Drosophila melanogaster: one gene and its partner. The protein of the gene in region 1 purifies or fractionates together with the protein of each later gene. This does not show direct contact. Each region holds a gene or a part of one and is shown in the gene's direction. Other genes may lie near its edges. The genes, in order: Sf3a2 and Sf3a1.

The links.
Region 2: the proteins of Sf3a2 (region 1) and Sf3a1 purify together in Drosophila melanogaster (affinity purification with mass spectrometry, with the first as the bait; one large-scale study listed by BioGRID). This does not show direct contact.

Annotation. Positions count from the first base shown.
Region 1 is NT_037436.4:12,810,138-12,820,314, reverse strand, and holds Sf3a2 (splicing factor 3a subunit 2), read left to right. Parts: upstream 1-6,295; 5' UTR 6,296-6,407; coding exon 6,408-7,202; 3' UTR 7,203-7,287; downstream 7,288-10,177. Other genes in the region: CG42588 (uncharacterized protein), read right to left, coding at 1-4,116, 5,435-5,783; Sap130 (Sin3A-associated protein 130), read right to left, coding at 7,486-7,635, 7,699-7,806, 7,865-8,035, 8,095-8,365, 8,429-8,667, 8,727-9,587, 9,652-10,109.
Region 2 is NT_033777.3:16,994,432-17,006,655, reverse strand, and holds Sf3a1 (splicing factor 3a subunit 1), read left to right. Parts: upstream 1-4,300; 5' UTR 4,301-4,396; coding exon 4,397-4,505; intron 4,506-4,627; coding exon 4,628-4,792; intron 4,793-4,849; coding exon 4,850-5,021; intron 5,022-5,082; coding exon 5,083-6,545; intron 6,546-6,601; coding exon 6,602-6,774; intron 6,775-6,835; coding exon 6,836-7,006; intron 7,007-7,063; coding exon 7,064-7,165; 3' UTR 7,166-7,272; downstream 7,273-12,224. Other genes in the region: Irc (Immune-regulated catalase), read right to left, coding at 1-80, 155-322, 380-551, 667-1,232, 1,305-1,486, 1,604-1,790, 1,855-2,188, 2,356-2,452 and 1 more; CG3534 (uncharacterized protein), read right to left, coding at 7,384-7,620, 7,680-7,869, 8,084-8,305, 8,364-9,191, 9,482-9,603, 10,008-10,067; EMC2A (ER membrane protein complex subunit 2A), read left to right, coding at 10,697-10,730, 10,843-11,251, 11,378-11,534, 11,597-11,845.

The DNA of each region.
Region 1 (10,177 bases):
TGATATTATCGATCGGATTTCGTGTTGAATCTGTGTCTTCTGTACTATCAACTGTCGTCAATTGTTCACCATCTTCCAAATCTCTTTCTGTAGCTTTTTCTTCTTTCTTCGCGCAACTTATGTTTTCAGAATGTTTTTCAGACTCGTCCAATTTTTTGTTATGACTCCCAGACTTTCTTTTTCCTCTAGATCTTAAAGATGAGACTGGTTTCTCAGGCGATACTTCTTCAAGGTTTTTCTTTAATTTTGCATTTTTCTGATTTGTCAAAGCTTCGGGTGATATTAGATGTTCATTTTGCTTATCAGACGCATTACCCTCTTCCAAGAGTCGCAATTCAGTATTTTCTGAGGAGCCTGGTGTTTTTAAAGGACTACTAGTCAACCGCTTTTCGTTTATCTTACTGGTAGTTGAACTATCTTTAACATGTTCATCTGTAGTCATTAAAATTGATTTGGTTGACATTCTCCTGCTCTTTTCGGATTTTCTGTCAAGAGTTATGGAATCCTTTTCCTTTATCACAGGCTGTTTTTCATCTGTAACACACTTACTTTCGCTGGAAGCACAGAAAGGGGTTATTTCGCTATGATGAGACGATGTTGCTTCTCCATCTGTTTTGAGTGGATCATCAATTCTCGAACAGTCTACAGTTGCTTCAGTACCAGATTTTGAAGGGGAAAGTACTTCATCGACAAAAGGCTTCTCATTTTCATTAACGAGCTTTGCCCATGCAGTAACATCCTCTTCACTCGTTCTGCTGTCTTCTATCGACATGTTATCTCCAAAATCCATTGGACTAGAAGGACCTGCATCGCTGCTATCGGAATCATCAGAAAATGCTCCCACAACCTGGTGACGGTCAAAAGTAAACTTAGAATCCGCCGCAGAGTTCTTCACTGGTTGCTGTATCTCTATAGACGGCTGCTCCTCCTCGGTCTCATCGTAATCTGGTGTAGCGTCATCGCTGATGTCCGTTTCATTGATCTTCATTTGTTTCACTCGCTGGCTTCGCACTGGAGTCTTAGAGCGTTTCCCTTCGTTGTCATCGAAGCCCAGAAATATGGAGCCATCATCATCACTTGTGCTGGAAGTTGGAATCCGATTTCCAGCATTCGCGCTAACTGGATGAAGAAACTCAAAATGCACGGGCTTTTCCGACGGATTTTTCTGGCCAACTTTTGTGGATCTCTTGCTGAGCACGGGACGTGTCTTAACAAGTTTCTTGCGGGGTAGCGCTTTAGATGCTTCTTCTGTTTTAGAAGTTGGCGATAGCTTTTTGGTTTGTGGCACCACCTTTTCGGCCGTCAGGTGGCCAATTAAATTCTGTATTCCTTTGGCATCAACTGAGCTATCTACACTGGTATTTAACTCCTGCGAGTCCTTACGGAATGGTAACTGGGGCTCACCCTGTGGGGCAGGTGGATTTTGTGAGAGGACATCAATTAGGGAGACATTACTGCTTGACGATGCGGGCTGTGGAACCTCGAAGTCTTCCTGACTACTGGTCTTGTGTGTAGATTTATTCTTAGGCATTTTGGGTGGGTGGTATAACTGGGTTAGGTCTCGTTCCGATGATGATTTTGACTGAATTTTATCTTCTTTTTGGTAACTTATTTCACTCTCATCATCTTTGTCCTCATGGGCTTGGCTTTTCGCTGAATCTTCATCTTGAACTGGACTGATTTCTTCTTCACACTGCTTCTCATCTGCTGGCACCTTTGGATTGTTTTTAACACTAGATAAATTATGATTTATTTGGTCTGAGCTCGTGCTAGCTGAATTGTCATTTACCTCGATTCCTGGGACTCCGTATCGATCCTCCATCAGGCTGTGATCGATAGCCATCGCCTGCTCGTCCTCCTCCTCAAAATCTAACTTGGCTTTCTTCACTTCAATTGGCTTTTGGATGCTTGGTCTTTTGGTGCGTTGCACTAGATTAATTTTAGCTTTTTTGGATCTGATAGGTGCCCTTTTCACAGGAGGATTGACCTCCTTTAAGGGCTCTGGATCTGACGCTGTCTTGACCTCTTCCAAAGGCACTTGTGATTTTTCGTCACATTTTTTTGGCAAAGTTGTGATAACAGTTGTTTCATCGTTGGCCTCTTGAATTGAGGTCTCGGTTACCGAAGATTTCACATTTTGCAATTCGCTTGCAGTGGTATTATCTACTGGGTTTGGGAAGTTATTGTGTATATTAGTGTCCTCCAGAGCTGAGTCTCCCACTTGTAAGTCCACCAATGGTGTACTCAATGATGTTACACTGCTTTGCATTTTTACTGCGTTCGGGCTAATCCTCAGTACATTTGTACTGTCGCTGCTTATATCCAAAGTAGCATGCAATATATTCATATCGTCCATTTTAACAATCTTTCCGATGGGTAGCTCCTCCTCCTCGGGTTGCGTAACCGATGAACTAGCAAACGAACATCCTCCAAATCCAAATAGAGCACTCAATCTTTGCTCTTCCGGTGAAAGATCCATAAAGCTGCTTTCATCGAGCGGATTTTCAGCGGTCAATTGAGCTATGAAATCTACAGCGGATTGGATTTTATGCTCTGGTGATGTGGCCGCAGAAGAACTCGATTGTTCTTGACTCACTGCTGATGTGTCCGCTTGAGAATGCATATCACCTATTTCTGTGTTCGGTTCCCTATTCAATTTGGATATTAAAGGAACAGATTGAACCAAGTCGGCGTTCATATCTTTAGGTATGTTTTCTGGTTCAGGCAAATCAACCAGGTTCGATTCTGTGGTAACCTCAGCAGTTAAATGCCCTCTTTCCGAAGTTATAGGAATATATACAGGAGTACTTGATCCAAGTGCATTCACCTCTGGATAATTGATTGGTTCATTAAAGGACTTAAGAGGGCTTGACTCGGTAGTCGGATCAGGAGTTGAGGGAATATATACAGGAAAATCAATTGGGTTAGCAACTGCCATAACTCCTTCCGTTTCTAAATTGGAAACTAATTCTAGTTCCACGGAATTAGAAGTGGCCTGATTTGGTTCAGACGAATAACGATTTCCAGGTGTTGTAGGCACTGATGTGGGAAAGTCTATTGCCTTGTCTTCAGTAGACTCATTCGATTCAATAATTGTTTGTTTTGTTGATTCTACAGGTAATGGATTTGAACGAATACTTGAGCCAGCTGAAAAGTCTGTTGCTTTATTTGGCTTTGGATTATACAAAGGAGCAATATTTCCTTTCAGAGTTGGTGATGAAAAGGGCGACGTTCGTTTTGGTTGAAGTATTGTGTTAATAGTGAAATGAGTATCCATTGTGGAAATAACATCCTTTGAATTAAGTGTTTTCATAGCTTGAGGTTGTTTCACCTGATCCGCCTGATTACGAATCTCTTTGGCCATCTCGGCCAGTTTTTCCCGTGAAACCTTAAACTTATTGGCGTTCATAATAACCTTGCCCTTGATCACTTTAGATTGGATATTTGGTGTTGCAGCGCTATCCGGAGAATTTGTAGCTTCCACCGGAGCATTGGGCAGCCGAAGCCCACTCAAATCGATTTTCTCGTTGGGTGCCAACACCTTATGCTCCAGCACAATTAGCGGCGGTGTTGGACTCCTATGAAGTTGTGTGGGAACCGTAGGAGCTGCTCGAGCTATAGGAACCTCTGGAGGTGGATATGGTTGGCTAAAAACATTCGTAGTTTGCTGTACTGGAATCCTCTGTGGACTTGGGGAAACTTGATGCACTGTCCCGTGCGGGTTCACTAAGGGACTGTCACTCGATACGCACATGGCTCGATGTTTGGGCAGCTGATTTACCAAATTGAGCAAAAGTGGCGGCTGCTTTTGTCGGACAGTCAAGTCCGCCTTGGCAATGGACATGGAAGAGGCTGCCGGAGCTGGGGAAATCCCGCCACTGCGAGGAGCTGTTTCGTGGCAAACAGGTGGTGGCATCTTAGGCGCTGCTTTGGAAGTTGTGGGCTTCTGCTGAGCCTGCGTGTTCGTGATTAAGCTCTTGTTTAGTATTCTGTTCTTTAATAGCGCCTTCACTTGTTTGGAACGGTCACCATCCGTTGGATTTGGAGTCGGCTGGATGGGCACTATCTTCTCGATGTGTTCCGAGATCATAAAACGCTTTACTAGAGGCTGAGGTGCTAAAAATTATAAAAGTGAAACATAATTAATAAAGGAAACTATAAGCAGAAGAACTTAGGAGCAAAGTTAAAGGAGCACAGTTTTAAAGCGAAATAAGCCATCTTATACATAAAAGATGCAATTCATTGTTAAAGCAAACATTAAATAAAACCATATAGAGCATGTATTAGCAAAAACAATCGCACACACAAACGGCAGTTTGACCGCAATGGGATTTGAACCCGGGCCAAAAAGGGAATTATGTTGCCTCGCATCGACGCTTCGTCCCTAACCTCATTTTGAGCGCGCACTTGACGATTGAACCACCGAAAGAGTACGAATTGTTGTGGCACGAGTGGGTCTTGAATCTAGTTTGCCAGACGAGTAGTCAAAAAAAATATTTACCCTTTCAAGGGTATCATATTTATGAATTAAGCTCATTATCCCTATTTTACAATTAAGTGTAAAATTTTATTTGCTTTTGACCAATTAAATTTTCATAATTTATGGCTTTACGTAGTTAGTACTCTATCACACAACAACAAAAATTAAATGATTATTGATTAAACTCATTATTCAATTGTTAAAATTTAAAAAAAAGTTTTCGTTAAAAACTTTTTGTGTTACATTTAACAACAACGACAAAAATATTGAAGTGTTCTAGTATTAGCAGTATATTTCATCTCATTTCAAAGAAAAGTACCAACTAATCTAAATGTCCCGAATTAATTTTTTTTTGGTTTTTTAAATTTATTTATTAAAAGAATATTAAAATATACATAAAATATCCTTGTAAAACATGTGATTCTCTTGGCTTATTAAAATATCGATCGTTTTAAATAATTAAATACCAAATTATGTTATTCAATATAAATTTTATTGGCAGTATGTTTTGGAAATAATAACGTCCTGTTTGACAAGTGAACATATTGTAGATGTTCAGATACAGATACAGATGGTTAGCCATCCTAATATTTCTAACCTATAGACCTGAATTTTTAACAAAAATAGACTTTTTTAAACTAAAAAAAATTATTTTAGGTTGCCATTCGAAATACGTAAAAAATAAAATATATCGAGATACACGAAAAGAAAGTGAAGGCGCCGCACTCACTGCGAGACGAACTCAGAACAATTAATACAAAAACTAACTCTTTGACAATCTGTCGGCGTCTCAATCAGTTGCACCATCGTTTTGGTTTTCGGTACTGTGCCCAAAACTCGTAGAAGCATTTAGACGATTTTCGTATCACTTGGTACAAAACCCCTGGGTTTGTAACGGTTTTTTGGGCGATGCACAGCTTAAAGCAAATATATATATATACAAGTATGCATTACCAGGCTGACGCAATTGTTGTTGTGGCGACTGCAATTTGCTCTCTGGCGCAGTTGGCGTCGACTGCGCTGCGGCAGAGGTGGAAAGACTGGTGGACGATGGGGCGTCCACCCTCTTGGCATCCAGCTTCTGCTTCCTAAGCACCTCGGCCAGCTGCCTATCGAGTCCAGCCTCCTTGAGCTTGTTGAAATCCAGCTGAATCTTCTTAATTATTCGCTTGGGCGGAGCTGCAGCAGTTTTGGTGGCGTGTGGAGGAGGGGCGCTGGTGGGATTACCGGGCTTCGGTTGATTAGAAGTGGTGGTCATTGGCGCCGGTGGACCCATGATGACCTGTTTGCTGGAGTTGTCCATTTCGCGGTTACTTTAAAAATCGCATAAGACACTGGCACTGTTTATTCCACGAAAATGACGACAGAAATCGAAATTCTTAAACACTCGTTGCTTCGATTTTTCTCAAGTCCGACGTAATCCACGCAGTGACATTTAAATAAAACACGCTTTTCGAGGCCTAGTACTTGTCACCAACACTAGTTTACTTTAGTTTAGATCGCTGTCTAGACATTTTTCACTTTTTAAATTCTAAAAAAGATCAAGCATGTGCAGCTCGAATTAATAGTGTGACCGCTTTGAAAAAGTAAAATATTCTCAAAGCTTCGGAACGAAAATATACCAAAATATTATATGTAATTCTTTAAAAAAACATCGCAAAAGGAATATATAAGTTATTTTATGTATATTACAGTTTGCAAAAATTTGACTATCATTAAGAATTTTAATGGATTTATGAAACATTCTATTATTTATTTAATACTTTAATCCTGCACACGAACTATCGATTGACTCTGATAAACTACCACCCCTAACCGAATTGGCGTTTCTTGACAACCCTGTTCTGTACAACAAATTTTCATGAAATTTTACCAACGCAAAACGTTTTTCCTTCGTGCGGTTGAAAACTAAAATAAAGTTTACAAAATGGACTTCCAAAACCGCGCCGGCGGCAAGACCGGCAGCGGAGGCGTAGCCTCCTGGTCGGAGACGAACCGCGACCGCAAGGAGCGACTGCGTCAACTGGCCCTGGAGACAATCGATCTGAACAAGGATCCGTACTTCATGAAGAACCATCTGGGCTCCTACGAGTGCAAACTCTGCCTGACGCTGCACAACAACGAGGGCAGCTATTTGGCCCACACGCAGGGCAAGAAGCATCAGGATAATCTGGCAAGAAGAGCCGCCAAGGAGGCAAAGGAGGCACCCTCTTCGCTGCTGGCGCCCGAGAAGCCCCGCGTGGAACCGAAGAAGTTCGTCAAGATTGGACGACCCGGCTACCGGGTGACCAAGCAGCGTGAACTCAGCAACGGCCAGCAGTCGTTGCTCTTTCAGGTGGACTACCCGGAAATCACGGAGTCCATTGTTCCGCGTCACCGCTTCATGTCCGCCTACGAGCAAAAGATCGAGCCGCCAGACCGCAAGTGGCAGTACCTTCTCTTTGCCGCCGAGCCGTACGAGACCATAGGGTTCAAGGTGCCGTCCCGCGAAGTGGAGAAGAGTGAGGGCAAGTTCTGGACGCACTGGAACCGTGACACCAAGCAGTTCTTCCTTCAGTTCGCCTTCAAGTTCGAACCTAAGATCCTGCCGCCACCGCCGCCGAATCTACATAGGGCACTAGGCCCCCCAGGCGGATTCCCCATGCCGGGACCGCCACGTCCTGCTATGCATCCCATGTTCAATGGCGTTCATCCACCGCCACCCATGCTTTCAAACAACTAATTCATCGACAATGTTTACGGGATTTCTCCAAACGCAAGCCGATTACCACAGAAATATTCAAATAATAAACAATTTTCTACTTAATACAACTCGAGGGTTTTTGTATTTGTGTTTCTAGCTTAATAAATTGAAAAAATATTGCTGGTTTTCTTTGTAGCTGTACGACTTACAAATCGATCGCGTTTAAGGTAATTATCTTGGATTCTATAATTTCTGCTTAAATTAGGTAATGTACAACTTATTAATACACACTTGGCTGGCCATCTCCGTTCGTCAATTACTTTTAGATCTTTTCGCGCTTCTTGAAATTCCTTTTCGAAGCGCAGCGGGTGATTATATTAGAAACGTGTGGCTTATGCTCGAAGATCTTCATTAACTGATTCTGTGCCTCGTTGATGCCATCGGTAATAATCTTGCTGCGTTGAATGTTTCCCTGCAAAGTAAATTGGTTTTATGTTGAGATTCAAGCATAATGGATATAAGTATAAGAGCGCACCTTTAGCAGTTCAGTGACTCGCTCAATTTCGCTGTGCTTCTCCTTGTCCTTTTCGAGATCCTGCAGCATGGTCTCCAGCCTGCCCAGACTAAAGACTTCCGATTCATTCTGTAAGAAATCAGTTCAGTCAAAGTAGCCTACCAATACTTTCGTGCCCATTGCTTACCAAGTCCTCCATTTGCGAGCGTAAATGATAAATTTTCCATCCATTGATTTTGCCCTGCACATTTGGCTGATTGGCCAGATCAATGACTGTGGCCCGCCGCTCCTCCCTTGGCTTAACATCAGTGTACCGATGAAAATGATTGTTGGCCAACTTATGTGTGGGCTTATACGTCTGTAGATCAACGGAATCATTTGTTAACTACCACAAAATGAACTGAACCTTCAACTTACATTGAGCAAAGCACAATTGCGCGGACGACGAATCACAAAGTCGACGGGATTTGCGTTCTCCTTGTTGCCCGCCACAGCAGGTGTACTGTTCCGGTGGTTGGCATCGCCTGGCGCACTGTTGGGAGCAACACCCGGGGTCGCTGCTGTCACCAGTAGTCCTCCATTGTTGTGCTTCTGCATGTACGAAGCGCCAGCCGGCGGCGTTGGCTCCGAACTTGGAGGTGGCAGCGATAAGGATGCTTGACTCTGCGTAGAGTGCTGGCTGTCATTGCTGGCAAATACATTATCAGATTATCAACATGCATCATTTGATACAACCACTCAAATAACTCACGTCGATCGTCGCGGCTTTTTCCTAGAGGAGCAGTCATAACTGGAGCTGGAGCTATTACCAGTACCATTCATACGCGTTCCTTGTTGCATCTGCGTCGATCCCACCAAATGAGGCACCTGCTGAGGCTGCTGTTGCTGCGGCGTTGGTGCTTGCACATCCACAAAGGCACTGCTACCACTGCGGGCTCCCAGTGAGGAGTGACCAAGGTTCTGCTGAATCGATTGGTGTGATGAGTACATCTTTTGAAGAACAAATATTAAAGCCATACTTAAGCATATATTGATTGTTGTGTACACACCTCATTAATGGGATTAAAATGCGTGGAATTATCGCGCCCACCAGCGCCTCCCGTGGCTGGCTGATCGCCAATCCTGTCCTGTAATTGCTGATCCACACCAGGTGAGGAATTCGCCGACACTGTAGTTGAGCCGTCCGACGAAGCCGGCGAGTCCGCCCTCGAATTTCTCGTTGAGTTCACGGGGCCAACTGTGGCAGGCACACTAGCGGCGCTACTTGCTACACCATGGGTGACTCGCTCCCGTTCCTTCTTGGCCAGCGCCTCTACGGTCAGCCCAGAGCCAACTGATTGAGGCACTGTCACGGACACCGGCTGAATGTTGAACGTGGTGCCCGGAGCCGGTGGCATGTTTTGTCCACTGTTATTGCTAGCCATTGAAAGCAAAGTGGGTCCTAGATTTTTAGCCGCCCGTATTGGCGAACCTTCCGCATCCCGCTTGCGCATAAAGCTGGACACCAGTGCTCCACTTGCAGTTGCTTGTTGCGGATTGCCCGCTCCCGTGGTCACCTTAACGGACGTATGCAGCGGAATAACCATGTGCTGCGGCGGCGCACTATTTGGTCCTGCTGGTATTATCAATTGCTGGTGGCCAATGGTTCGGGTGGCTGTTCCACCAGCCCCCGACGGCAACACCGTAAAAGTAGCCTGCGATCCGCCGCCACCTGATCCCGCTCCGGCAGTCGCGTGACTTGCAAAGGGTAACGAAGATACCGACAAGCTGCCACCGGCGCTGCTAACCAATTGTGCCTGCGCCTGGGTGCTCTGCGTCACTGTTGTCGTAGTCAATGATAGAACGCCTGTGGAGGCGGAGGCTGGCATAGATTCGTAGTAGATTGTGGCAGCACTTCCCTTCTCATCGATCTGTATAACGATTTAGTTTTAATAGTTAATTGAAGCATCATATATGTAGATAGTTGAAACCTACCTTCATCAACTGGCTCTGTGAAGCAACTACAGGATTCCAGGTGCGTTGAAAGCCCGTCACTGTTGCCCCGCTTGTGCTGGAACCATCTGCTCCAGGGGCAGAAGAAGCTGGTGCCATCATCATCTTGCCCAAAGTGATGCCGCTTGCGTTCTTGATGGGCGTCAGAGTTCCCGTGAGGATATTACCGCCTGGTCCCACTCCCGCTCCCCTGCCACTGATGGTAAGTGGCAGGACAGTGGCTCCACCGGCCGCCGATGTGGCACCCGTCACCGAGCTTGAATTGACCACACTGGCAGAGACATTCGGCACTGGCACCGCCTGGATGCTGGCCACGCCCTGCGGCCCCATTGTTTGTCCTCCACTTCCTCCGCCAGCTGACAGTTTTCCGATGGGATTAAGCTGTGTAATAGTTAGCGATGGCTGAACCTTAGCGGTCATGGTGACAGGTGGACGAATGCCTGTCGATTGATGGTTTCAAAGATATATTATTATTATTTCATTTAATTGTGGTAGGGTTTATTCCTAT
Region 2 (12,224 bases), on another chromosome or scaffold:
ACAGGATTCTCCGAAATACCACCCACAATGAGGTCCACATCAGCCCAACTGGCGTATATTGTTTTCAGCTTATCCAAGACCTTGTTGAATGAATATTTTAAAATTATATTAAAAAAAAATTAAAATATAAATAATAAATAAATAAAAGACCTACATCACTGGGAATGAAATGCTCAAAATCTTTCCAGCTTTCTACGGGTCTGGACAACACACACGATTCCAAGTACCGATAATATGGCAGCAGACCGTGATCTCTCCCCCTTTGGATATCGAAGGCCAAAATATCGGCATGGGTTGGCTTGGTGTCCTTGTGCCAGACGACCTGTTAGTTAAAAAATGAATTTCAGAAGCTATAAAATATCAAAATCATTTGGCTTACACCACCGGAGTAGGCAGCGTCCATCTTCATGGTCTCCTGATTGAGCAAACTCTCAAGGATGTTATTCAACTTTTGGGAAGTGTACTGCAACTTTGGTTTGTAGATTTCTTCCTTGAGCTCAAAAAGGTTTTTAGTTGGTAGCTCCTTGCTAATAAACACATATTGGTTGTTTCTGTAAGAAAGTTAAATGTTATTAAAAGTTTAAAGATTCTGGCCAACTTGTCGTATTAGTAATTTATATGGAAATGAATTTCTTAATTTATTCTTCATCAGATTGTGACACTCACTTCTCAGTACCGTAGACTACGTTATCCTTGGTCAGATTTAGGAGCTCATTGGGCAGCATAGAGAAGTAAAATCGAATGGCAGCCACCGCAAACTCATTGGAGACCTCCAAAGCACGATTAGGCTGTTTTCTCCTAATCTCACTGGACATCTTCTGGCCGAGCACCTCTGGCAGCCACTCCTCAATGACCACTCGACGATATATATCCACATTGACTGCCTTGGCAGCTTGGAAGAGCTTTTCATCGCTCCACCGGGGATTCCTTTGCTTCAGCTCGGCAGCCACTTTGTTGTGATTGCGCATGAAGATCGTGTAGATCAGTATGGAGAACGGACTGCTATTCACCCGCGAATCTCCGGCAGCAAAGCAGGTGCCATCACCAATTGTTGCCCTGGCGCAGAACGATGGTCCTTCCGTATCGGTGGCGATGGGCAGGAGGGCGTTGTCGAATTCTCCACGAGGAGTTGACCTTAACAAACCGCCCTCGAGAACACGCAACTTTCTCTCCGCCGCTGCGGTGAAACCATAGAGTTGCGATAGATCCAAGGACCCCGTGGCCTGGTTGAGCTACATACATATAATAGAAGTAAGCAATCAGTGATATTTTTACATGGTTTTTCACAATTGAATTCTTCTTACTTGTTCGGCGCCACCGAAATTGCAATCAGCCACGGCCAGAGCACTTCGCACATAGTTAAGGCAGCTGGGCACGTCGTATTTCCCACCGGGCTGGTACAGAATCGGAGCACATGCCGGGTGGTGGTGACGCGGCTGAAGGTTGATCTGGTCACGGCTGCAGCACTCTATTGGGGCTCCATTGCCTGGGAACGGAGAAATCGTTAATTGAAACAATTTTAACAATATAAATATATAAATTGATATACTTTGGTTTTAAGTATGTTAAGTACAAAAGGAAGAGGTCATCATATGAAACTCACTCATTGATTGCGACACCGGCTTGCTAAGATCATGCTCCACAAATTGAGCCCACTGAGGGAGGGCCAAATTGGAATTGCTTTCGAAGGTTTGTTGTTTGGAGATCTGAATGTGATCGGGCTCATACAGCTCCTTACTAATGGACCACGCAGCCGGCACTGTTTCGCGTCTTCCGGAATTGGGAAACATCTAAAAATACCATATAAACCATTTAATTCATCTTCTACATCCTGTTTTTCTGAGCGGATCGCACCTGATAGAAACCGTTCCTGTAGTGGCTGCTCCCAAGTAGCCTTCTGAAAGCATAGTGACCCTCTCGATTTCCCTTGAGTGAGTTCTCACACTCAGTTCGCAAGCTACTGCCCTCCGGAAGTGGTTTTTGCTCCAGGTAACTGCGGCACTTGTCTCCATCGATATTATTAGGCAGGCATTCGCTGTTGAAAACGAGCAAGCTGGACTTAAGGATCTTCAGGGCGAGCTTATTGTCCTTCTTCGAAGCTAGGCTTGGTAAAGTATCCAGAAGTTGAGCGTGTGAAAGGCTGCCGTTCTTAACAGTGATATCGGAACCTAATAGATTGTCCTCCAGTCTGAAAAAATGGTTAAGTAATATTATGTAAAATATAATGTTTAAATTTAAGCCCGAATACGGAAATATAAGTCGCGCACCAAGTTCAGCAGAAAAGTGTCACATCCTAAACATATCAGCGTAAGTCATTAAAGTTAACTGGTTTTCAAAGTAATCAGTTGTACAAACCGCTTTTGCCTATTTACTGAGTCCAACGCCGTTTCTACATATTGCAACCATTTCGAAGCAGGAATCCTGTTTAATTCGGCATTAACATCTCGGCTCGCTGAAGATTCATAAAATGATACAAATGAATTGGTTAAATTTAAGTTTATTCAGATGGGTAGTTTAATTTATAATTTTCATTATCATCATTTCTCTTGGGAATCTCAATTTCTAGGCGCCGTTTTAAGTAAATTGACTCATTTAAAGAAAACATGATTTATATCTACGGTATAATTGAATTGTTCTGGAATATTCCACAAATTGTCTTGTCAACACATTAATCAAGACAATTTAAAAGTACTATATCAAAGGTAACGATACAATCATAAAAAATGGCCTTTTGTGAATGGTTTCTATGCAGTCGTATTGTTATTGAAAGTGTGAATACCCTATTAAAGAGATATTTACCTGAATACAGTATGCTAATTCAAGTGAAATATCTCTGCATCTTACTCGAAAAATAAACATCAATTATTTCTCACGCTTATAGAAATCTATTTGGATCCGATCAGTAAACAATTGTTGATTGGGAATTCTTATTCAGCGATAAGCCCTCATATATGCGAACCTTGGGGTGAGCTTTTGGAATTTATTGGAATCTTTATCAACAAGTATATGCAAATGGGGTTTTTTGAATGTAACAATTTAGTAATGTTTATTACAATAAACAAATGTGAAAACCTGGTAAAAACCAATGCAGTCATTCATGATGATATAACGCTTGAGCACTCGCAGAAAGTGGAAAGTACATTTTACATTGATCAATAAAACAGTTTCCCATTTCTGTATATATTTTTAATACTTGTACTTAATTACAGGCTAAATAGTGCGTAGTGATTGTGGAAATTTATCGCTGTGAGACGACCAGCCTCCGCTTTACGAATGTCTTTCTGCTTTATCAATTAAATATTTATATACTTCAATAAAGTTTTTATTATCATAATAAACCGAATAACAAGCTATAAAATTAATAGGTTTCCCTCTATTTGGTCTACTTTTCTACACGAAGAAGACTGTGCTCTCTTAAAAGAAATTAGCACGAGAATGAGATACTTGACACCAAAATGTCTCTATAAACACAGAGTTTAATTTAAATACTGCTAGCGGACTCACAATTAGCATCGATTGTTGTCAATAATGATGCTCCTATTATGAAAGCCAGCAGGCAGATGTACTGAATTCCACCCATTGCAGTGTCTTTGTTCTAGAACTCGGATTTTTCAGCCACCGGTTGTGATTCACAAAATACCCGCACGTCAATGGGATTTAAGTCACGTCGCTAGCTTGTGATAAGGAAGTGATCCGAACTGCGACTCTATCGGACCTAATCCGCGCTTTCAGTCCAATTAAACCGTGTCGACGGCTCAGCGATTCGTAGACTACTGAGCTTGGGGGCAAATCTCGACAGAATCGAGTCGATGAGAATGAGAATGAGTCGGGTCGTTATCACGCACAAGGGAACCTCATCATCTGGATAATCATCATCATCATCATCTGGCTATCGTGCTGGCAGCAGACTCTCTCAGCGAATGAATAAAGTCGTACAAACGTAAACAAATGTTATTTTTGTTTTGGCTTGGTGAATCAAGCCACCCGTACAAAGCCGTACCAACACTAACATAATATGCAAATAAAGACCTCATCCGTGGGGTTCAGTTCTGCCCACGCCTTTGTCCGTCCATCTACTGATATATATGTAAAGATTTTATAAGCCATTATTAACGCCTGAGTTGATGGTTTGTCCGACAGATTGTTTAAATCCAGCGCCAAATTAATCGATAGGCTGAGCCAGTGGTTCACTAGTTCCGGCTTGAAACTAGTTCGTTTATTGAGTCACCCTAACATTACTACATGAATGTAAGAAAACTATCGATGGCGGTGGCAACAGTCCAACGATTGTTCCATCCCTATTCCTTCCACCTCTAATTTTCGGCTAAACAAGCGTTTTCTCATTTCTCAAAAAGCAATCAGATTTTATCAATAAAAGAGGACGATTTCACCAGCCATGGCAACTTTAGACGCGGAAGCCAACGAGGAGCAGTTCGGCAATGATCAGCCCAAGTCGATGTCGGGTCCAATCATTGGGATTATCTATCCGCCGCCGGAAGTTAGAAGCATCCTTTGCCAAAAAGAAAACAAACTTTTTTCTCAATTTAGCCATTTTTTACTCAAAATACATTCATTTAATACACATTTAGCGTTTCCCATACTCAGTTATCAAAGCTTTAACTATTAGATATCGTTGACAAGACCGCCAGTTTTGTGGCTCGCAATGGACCGGAATTCGAGGCGCGCATCCGCCAAAATGAGCTGGGCAATCCAAAGTTTAACTTCTTAAATGGCGGAGATCCCTACCACGCATACTACAGACACAAGGTCAACGAGTTCCGCGAGGGCAATGGTATGTTTTCGTTCACTTCCCATTAATACTTCCTCTTAATACATGAGACCGTTTCAGATGCCGGTATCACTGCCCTTGCCAGCATGAAGCAGCTGGCGGTGACCAGTGCCGCCCAACAGCGCCAGCAAGAGCTTCTCAAGCAAGTGGTGGAGCAGCAGTTCGTACCAAAGGAACCTCCACCTGAATTCGAGTTCATAGCCGATCCGCCCTCCATTTCGGCGCTGGATTTGTAAGTGTCCACTCGCCAGGAAGTTCCAATCGCTGTCTTATTGTCTTGCATATCTTTTCAGGGACATTGTGAAGCTAACTGCTCAATTTGTGGCCCGTAACGGCCGACAGTTTCTGACCAATCTTATGAGCCGGGAGCAGCGTAACTTTCAGTTTGACTTCCTGCGACCCCAGCACTCGCTCTTCCAGTACTTTACCAAGTTGCTGGAGCAGTATACCAAGGTCTTGATACCTCCAAAGGATTTGCTGGGCAAACTGCGTTCCGAGAGCGCACCGGGCAGGAGCAGCATGAACCAGGTGCTGGAGCAGGTTAAATATCGGGCCAACTGGCAGCGTCACCAAGAAGCACAACGCCGCCGTGAGGAGGAGAAGATCGAAAGGGAGCGCGTGGCCTATGCCCAAATCGATTGGCATGACTTTGTGGTGGTGGAGACGGTGGACTATCAGCCATTCGAATCGGGCAACTTCCCGCCACCCACGAATCCCGACGAGGTAGGAGCCCGTGTGCTAATGGAAGAGCGTCTAATGGACGAAGAGGGCGATACAGAAATGCAGATCGAGTCGGACGACGAGGGCGACTCCCAGGCTAACAACCTATTGGACAGCGGTCTGAAACTCTCGCAAATGGAGAACCGTGTGGGTATACAAATGAAGAACGTATCGTCGTATGGCCAGCCGACTGGCCCCAAGAGAGACAACACCCAGGTGCAAGACATGGACGAAGCCTCTAGTGATGAGGACACTCCAACCACTAAGTTGCAGCCATCTGTTGCGCCAATGCTGCCGCCCACCCACGACAAAGTGGTGGTCAAGAAATACGATCCTAAGGCAACGCAACCGAAGCAGGCGCCAATGCCTACGGATGAGTATCTCATCTCGCCGATTACAGGAGAGAAAATACCGGCTTCCAAGGTCTCGGAGCACATGCGCATCGGTCTATTGGATCCACGCTGGGTGGAACAGCGAGACAAGCATACTGTGGAGAAAATCAATCAAGACAATGTGTTCGCCGCGGGCACTGCCATCGAGGCGAGTCTCAAGCAACTGGCTGAGCGTCGTACGGATATCTTTGGTGTGGGCGACGAGGAGACCGTCATTGGTAAGAAGCTCGGCGAAGAGGAGACGAAGAAGGACGATCGCGTCACCTGGGACGGACACACGTCCAGCGTGGAGGCGGCCACGAGAGCAGCACGTGCAAATATCACTCTGGAGGAACAAATTCATCAAATCCACAAGGTTAAGGGACTGCTGCCCGACGAGGAGAAGGAGAAAATCGGCCCCAAACCGGTGGGCAACAAGGCGACGCTTTCAGCTCCGCCGCAGCCGTCAACCAAGTCGCAGCACAGTCACTCCAGCCAGAGTCAACACCACCAAGGTGGCGGAGGTGGTCACCACGGGCATCATAATCCTCATCATCACCATCCACCGCATCAGCAGGCGCCACCTCACCAGTCGCACCACCATCACCCGCCGCAGCAGCCTCAACCGGTGATGCAGCTGATGCAACTGCGTCCAACCATGATGCGTAAGTAACAAATAGTATGCAAATCTCGTCGAGGGCTTAGCGTTTTTATTTTGCAGAGCCGCCTTTTGGAGCTGGTGGTGGAGGCTACATGAACATGCAGCCTGGTGGAATCCCTCAGCAAATTGCACCTGCTCCACCTGTTGATATAATGGAGGAGGAGCCGCCTTCTAAAAAGATTCGAAGCGAGGACAACCTGATTCCAGAAGCAGACTTTATTGCCACCCACAAGGTAAGTTTGATTTTGATATCTGGCTATCTATTGGTATATAACCCATCTTAAATTATTTCAGAGCCCTGTGACCATTCAGGTTTTGGTACCCAATTCCGACAAATCAGAGTGGAAGCTTAATGGACAGATGATAGCCGTGACCATGGCACTTTCTGAACCCATTGCCAATCTGAAGACGAAGCTGCAGGACGAAACTGGCATGCCACCGGCCAAGCAGAAGATATTTTATGAGGTAAGAAATACAACTAATGTTTCGAAAACTATTATTTCAATAACATCTATCCTTCAGGGAATGTTCTTCAAAGACAGCAATACCATGGCTTTTTACAATCTGGTAAACGGAACCACGGTGCATTTACAGGTCAAGGAGCGTGGTGGACGCAAAAAGTAGGCGGATCAAAGATTAAAGGCATACCAGACACAATAAGGAGTGGGCCATATATAAAAATTTATTTGTATATGGTTTCGCATAAATTTGTAATAAATCGTCAATCACAGAATTTGTTAATTGCACTTAAGTTCTGTCAATTACAGGAGACGTTTAAGAAGGAATCAGTTTGTGAATGTACGGAGTATAAACTGGAATGTTACGTTGGGCTTTCGGAGAGTTTATGTGTTAGGATTGGACAGGACGCGCGCCATTTCGCGATATCGTTGTAGCATTGGAGCGTAGATTTCCTCGCTGTCCTTGTGTGGTTCGCATACAAGGCTCAGTTTGTTACTTGTCAGACTTAGGATATAATCTCGGTAACAGAGAGGCGTCACCCCATCACCTGCCTCTTGAAGGTACAGAGCGTAGGCGGATCGATAAGCGGCTCCCAGTAGGGCAGCCTCAAATCCTTCATCCTGCAAGAAACATGTTGCTTAAATTGCTTGCACTTGAGAAACAGTTGGTATGAACTAACCTGGATATGGACGGGAGCATTGAACACATCGGCAATTGTTTGCAGGATTGATTTGTTAACAGATGCGCCTCCTGTGACAAGGATTTGTGTCTCGGGTCCGAATTTGTAGCCAAGGTCTTCAGCCACAGCCCGGTGATGCAGCATCTGACCTTCAACTAGGGCTCGAATTTCGATTTGGGGCGAGCTGAATCTATAAAGCGAAAGAGGTCAGGAATATTTTATACATTTTAAAGAATTCAGTAGAAGGGAAATAGGCATTAAGAAAAAGTATAAACGACAAAAAACATGATCATGTTGGTAAAAAGTCATTTCTAAAAATAACTATTTACAGATGTCTGTTAACTGATTATGAGTCATTGCTTTCATGTCGGACCTAAAACAGCTAAATTTTCAATCAGACTTACTTGATTACACCCCTAGCCGCGTCCGGGGAACTGGGATCCATTTCCCTGTTCCATCGCAGAATACCCTGCGCCTTGGGAATGATTTCCATGTCGTTAAAGTGCACGGCCATGTTCCCAAAGTTTCCACGGGGCGTGGAGTCGAGATACTCATTGAATTTATCCCAATCGCCGCCGGTTGTCTTCTTGTTCATTTCCTCACGGACCAATGAAGCATTTCTAAAACTGAAAAAGACATTTAAATAAACTAATTTTAAGATATAATGTCCCAGGAATAATTTACCATAGAAGGCCCATGAATTCTTCCGTTTCAGTTGGATGGCAGAGTATATGACCCTCCTCCCAGTTTAGCGGCTCCTTCAAGCTCATCATTAGGGTGTCACTTGTGCCCATGGAAATGGTAAGCCAGCTGCTGCCCACCAACATTCCAGACAGCGCCGAAGGATTGTCCCCCGTGCTAGCAGCCACTTTGCAATCGGGCGAAAAACTAAAGCGCTCCACAAAGTACGGAGAGACGTTGCCTAAAATCGAATTTGGACTGACCGGAATGTCCAGGCGCTTGTCCAAATCGGGTGCACAAACATTTAGGCATTCTTTGGACCAGTTCTTCTTGCGGATGTCCAGCAGATTCATGCCGGAACCATCACTGAAGTCAATTGGAGCGACGGAGCCCAGAAATAGCGATGATATAAAACTGCTGACCAATGAGATTCGGTTGGCCTCTTCGTAGGCGTGGCAGCGTTGCTGATATATCTTTCTAATTTGGGGACCCGTAAAACGTTCGTAGCACTTCGAGCCCGTCAGTTCCACCATGTTAAGTTTGCCACCAACAGCCATCTCCATCTCTAGGCACTGTTTGGTGGTGGTGGCGTCCATCCAAATCGGAGTACGATTTACCACAAAGGCGGAGTCGTCGATTTGTGCGTGAAGGAACTTCTCGGAATCGAGGTTTTGCAGCGTGTTGATTCCATGTTTGGACCAGTAGAGCGATCCGTGCTGCTGTCCGGAGCCACTGATGGCAGCTACGGTGCTAAGATCCGCTTGCTGCATAACCAGTCGGTCCAGGACAATGTCCATGGCCTTCACCCACATCACTGGTTGTACAAAGTATCTAAAGAAGAACAAGTAAAGGTGGAGTCAGGTTAGCACATATATATTTTATAGTACCCATTGTATATATGGTCCCTGTTATAGGAAGGTTAAAAAAAACTTGAAGTGATAGAGACCCATTGTGGTGTAATAAAACAACTGCTATGAAATAGGGCCCTAAGTATTATCGGACAAATACCCCACAGCGCAAGATATAAAAACGTAAAATATATCCCCCTATTTGCTTTACGCAAACAATCATCCCATTAAAATCTTCAATTGGAGTAATGGATAGTGGTGAAACAGACTCACTCATTTTTGATGGATCCAGCGTTGGCTCCACCGGTGGTCCGGAACTCCGGCAAGTCGGTGTCGAATTTCACTTCAGCCGCGGCAACCACCTCCAAACTGGAGCCCAGCAGGACGGCTTTGAGCTGAGAGGAGTAAATGGGGCAGCAATTAGCGATATGGAGACACACCTCGAAAATAACGATCAAACATAGAGGGCAACTAGGAGTCACCGCCAGCGTCATTCAGGGATTGTGAAAGTTATTGCGGCTCTATTAAGATAATGTCGGGGGCCAATACCTCCGAACATGAATTTCAATAATCAAACCATAATAGTTAAATCGGTTGGCGCTCGCGTCTTTAGCAGATAAGCGAAAATCGAGCCCCGGTCACCGCAACTGATAAGAGTAGTTCGTGTTTCAAGTTCCCGAGTACCGTTTGACCTTTTCCAGTAACACCATTCGCACGCAATTGGCCCAGATGTAGTCGATTTGGAGACGCCTCCACATCTCAGATGCAAAGATACTACGTAGGCAGTTCCAGTTCTCACCTTTTGCGTGCTCAAGTCGAAGCCAAGAAAGGTTCGTTTCAGCTGCTTTGGCGGACCCATGTTCAAACTGCTTCCGGATCTGTTGGGAGTTGGGGAAATTAAACACAGCACCGCATGCGGCACTGCCCGATTCCACGGCTTTAATACCCGGAGAGCACGAGAGACTTGGCTTTTGTTGACGGTACCACAATTATTTGATTTGTTAGTGTGACCGTCGCTGGAAGAAAAACTATCATGTTTCATGTTTTCGTTGGCGCGCTTTTCAAATGTGCACTTGACTTAGAAATCTGTTAAAATGGATAAGCAATGCACAAAGTTTGGACAAAATAAGATTAATGCATGGTAAAATAATTCATTAAAGAATCCTTTTCAAGGACCTACAAGTATTTCAGAAGTATTAACAGTTTAATTAACTTTGCAAATATCGGAAACAAGGTATATGTAGAAAAACTTAACTTTAGAAGTCTCTTTATAATAAAAAGTTTTAAAAAATTACCTCTGACTTCATTTCTAGACTTTACGATATTCAAAAAGCAGGTTGGCAGCGCCACGCTAGTGTTATTTGGTATAATCTAACGGCTCATTACGCTGCCACACTTTTATTTTGCCAAGAAGGAAATCGCTAGTTAATGATTACAATTGGGAAATTAAATTAAATTGATGAGATATTTAAGTCCGCCTAAGTGAATATGTCGCTAGATTATGAGAAGATGAGCTGGTCGGGTAAGTTTTCGGCTTTTCCCGGCTCCAGACAGGTGCAGACCACGTCAGTGGGTTGCTCCCAATTGCCATGAATGAAAAGTGCCGTATCATAAGCGTATGATCATCCTTTCAGATGTACGGGATCAGTTCAGAACGTGGCGCGAGGAGACGGGTCGCCACAGCGAGGAGGTGGTCCAGCTGTGGGTTGCTGTGCTAGAGGACAAGGTGCACAAGACCGGCAACGAGCGGCATCTCATCCTGGAGCAGGTGATCATCGCGGCATTGGATACGGCTCGCTTTGACATCGCCACCAAGTGTACCAAGCAGCTGTCCCTCGAGTTCCCGGGCAGCCTGCGCGTGATGAAGTTCAAAGCGATGCGCTACGAGGCCCTGGAGCAGTACGATGAGGCCGACGAGGTCCTGGATGCAATCATTGCTAAGGACGAGACAAATGCCGCGCCCAGGAAGCGCAAGATTGCCATCCTTAAGGCCCGTGGTCGTCGCCTGGAGGCCATCAAGGAGCTCAACGAGTATCTGAAGAAGTAAGAAAGCTAAGTTCATGGTGTTTTTGGAAGAACGGAACCAAATTAGTTTCCGGCATCCGGTTGCTAGACAACTACTTATCTTACCATGTACGATAATCTCATAACTATTTAATATTCCTTCAGGTTTATGTCTGACCAGGAGGCATGGCATGAGCTGTGCAACATGTATCTGGCTGAAGGCGAGTTTGGCAAAGCTGCCTTCTGCATGGAGGAGGTTTTGCTGCACAATCCGCATAGCCATCTAATACACCAGCGTTTGGCAGAAATACGATACACAATGGTGAGCTATATAAGCCCACTAACCAGTAATGAAGTCCATCTTATGAATTAATTTTCTTTCAGGGTGGCGTCGAGAATATGGAATCGGCTCGCACTTACTATTCGCAGGCCCTGAAGCTTAATCCGCATAACTTGAGGGCCCTTTATGGCATTTACTTGTGCTGCAACCATTTGGACAACTCTCGTGCTGTGAGCTCCAAACGGAAGGAGCTGCAAAAGTTGAGTCAATGGGCCCTCGAACAACTTTTGACTAAACAAACGATTGTACCCTTGGAGGCTGCCTTTGGAAACCTGGAAATTAAATCGAATTGACCAATATAAGCACTAATAATTTGTGCAATAGATGCCAGAATGTAATGGTTCCAAATATTCTCAGAAGTGGGTTTCCAGTTTCTGTTCTTTAAGCAGGTTACATAGATAAACAATTAAAGAAATAGGAGTAAAAACAATTTTATAGTCAGTGCATCCAAGCAACTGTTTTTGGTGGTCTAGTATTGTTGACGGCATTGAAACCGGATAATTTAAAACATTTATTATTGAGGTAGGCAAAAATAGTCCTGTAATAAATTTAGATTAAACGCAATGAACTGCTTTGAATCATACTTTTAATCTTTGGCCTCAAGTTTTAAGCAATATTAACTCGTGCCCATGTGCTTACATCCGTAAAATTAATCGGGCACTGAACGACATT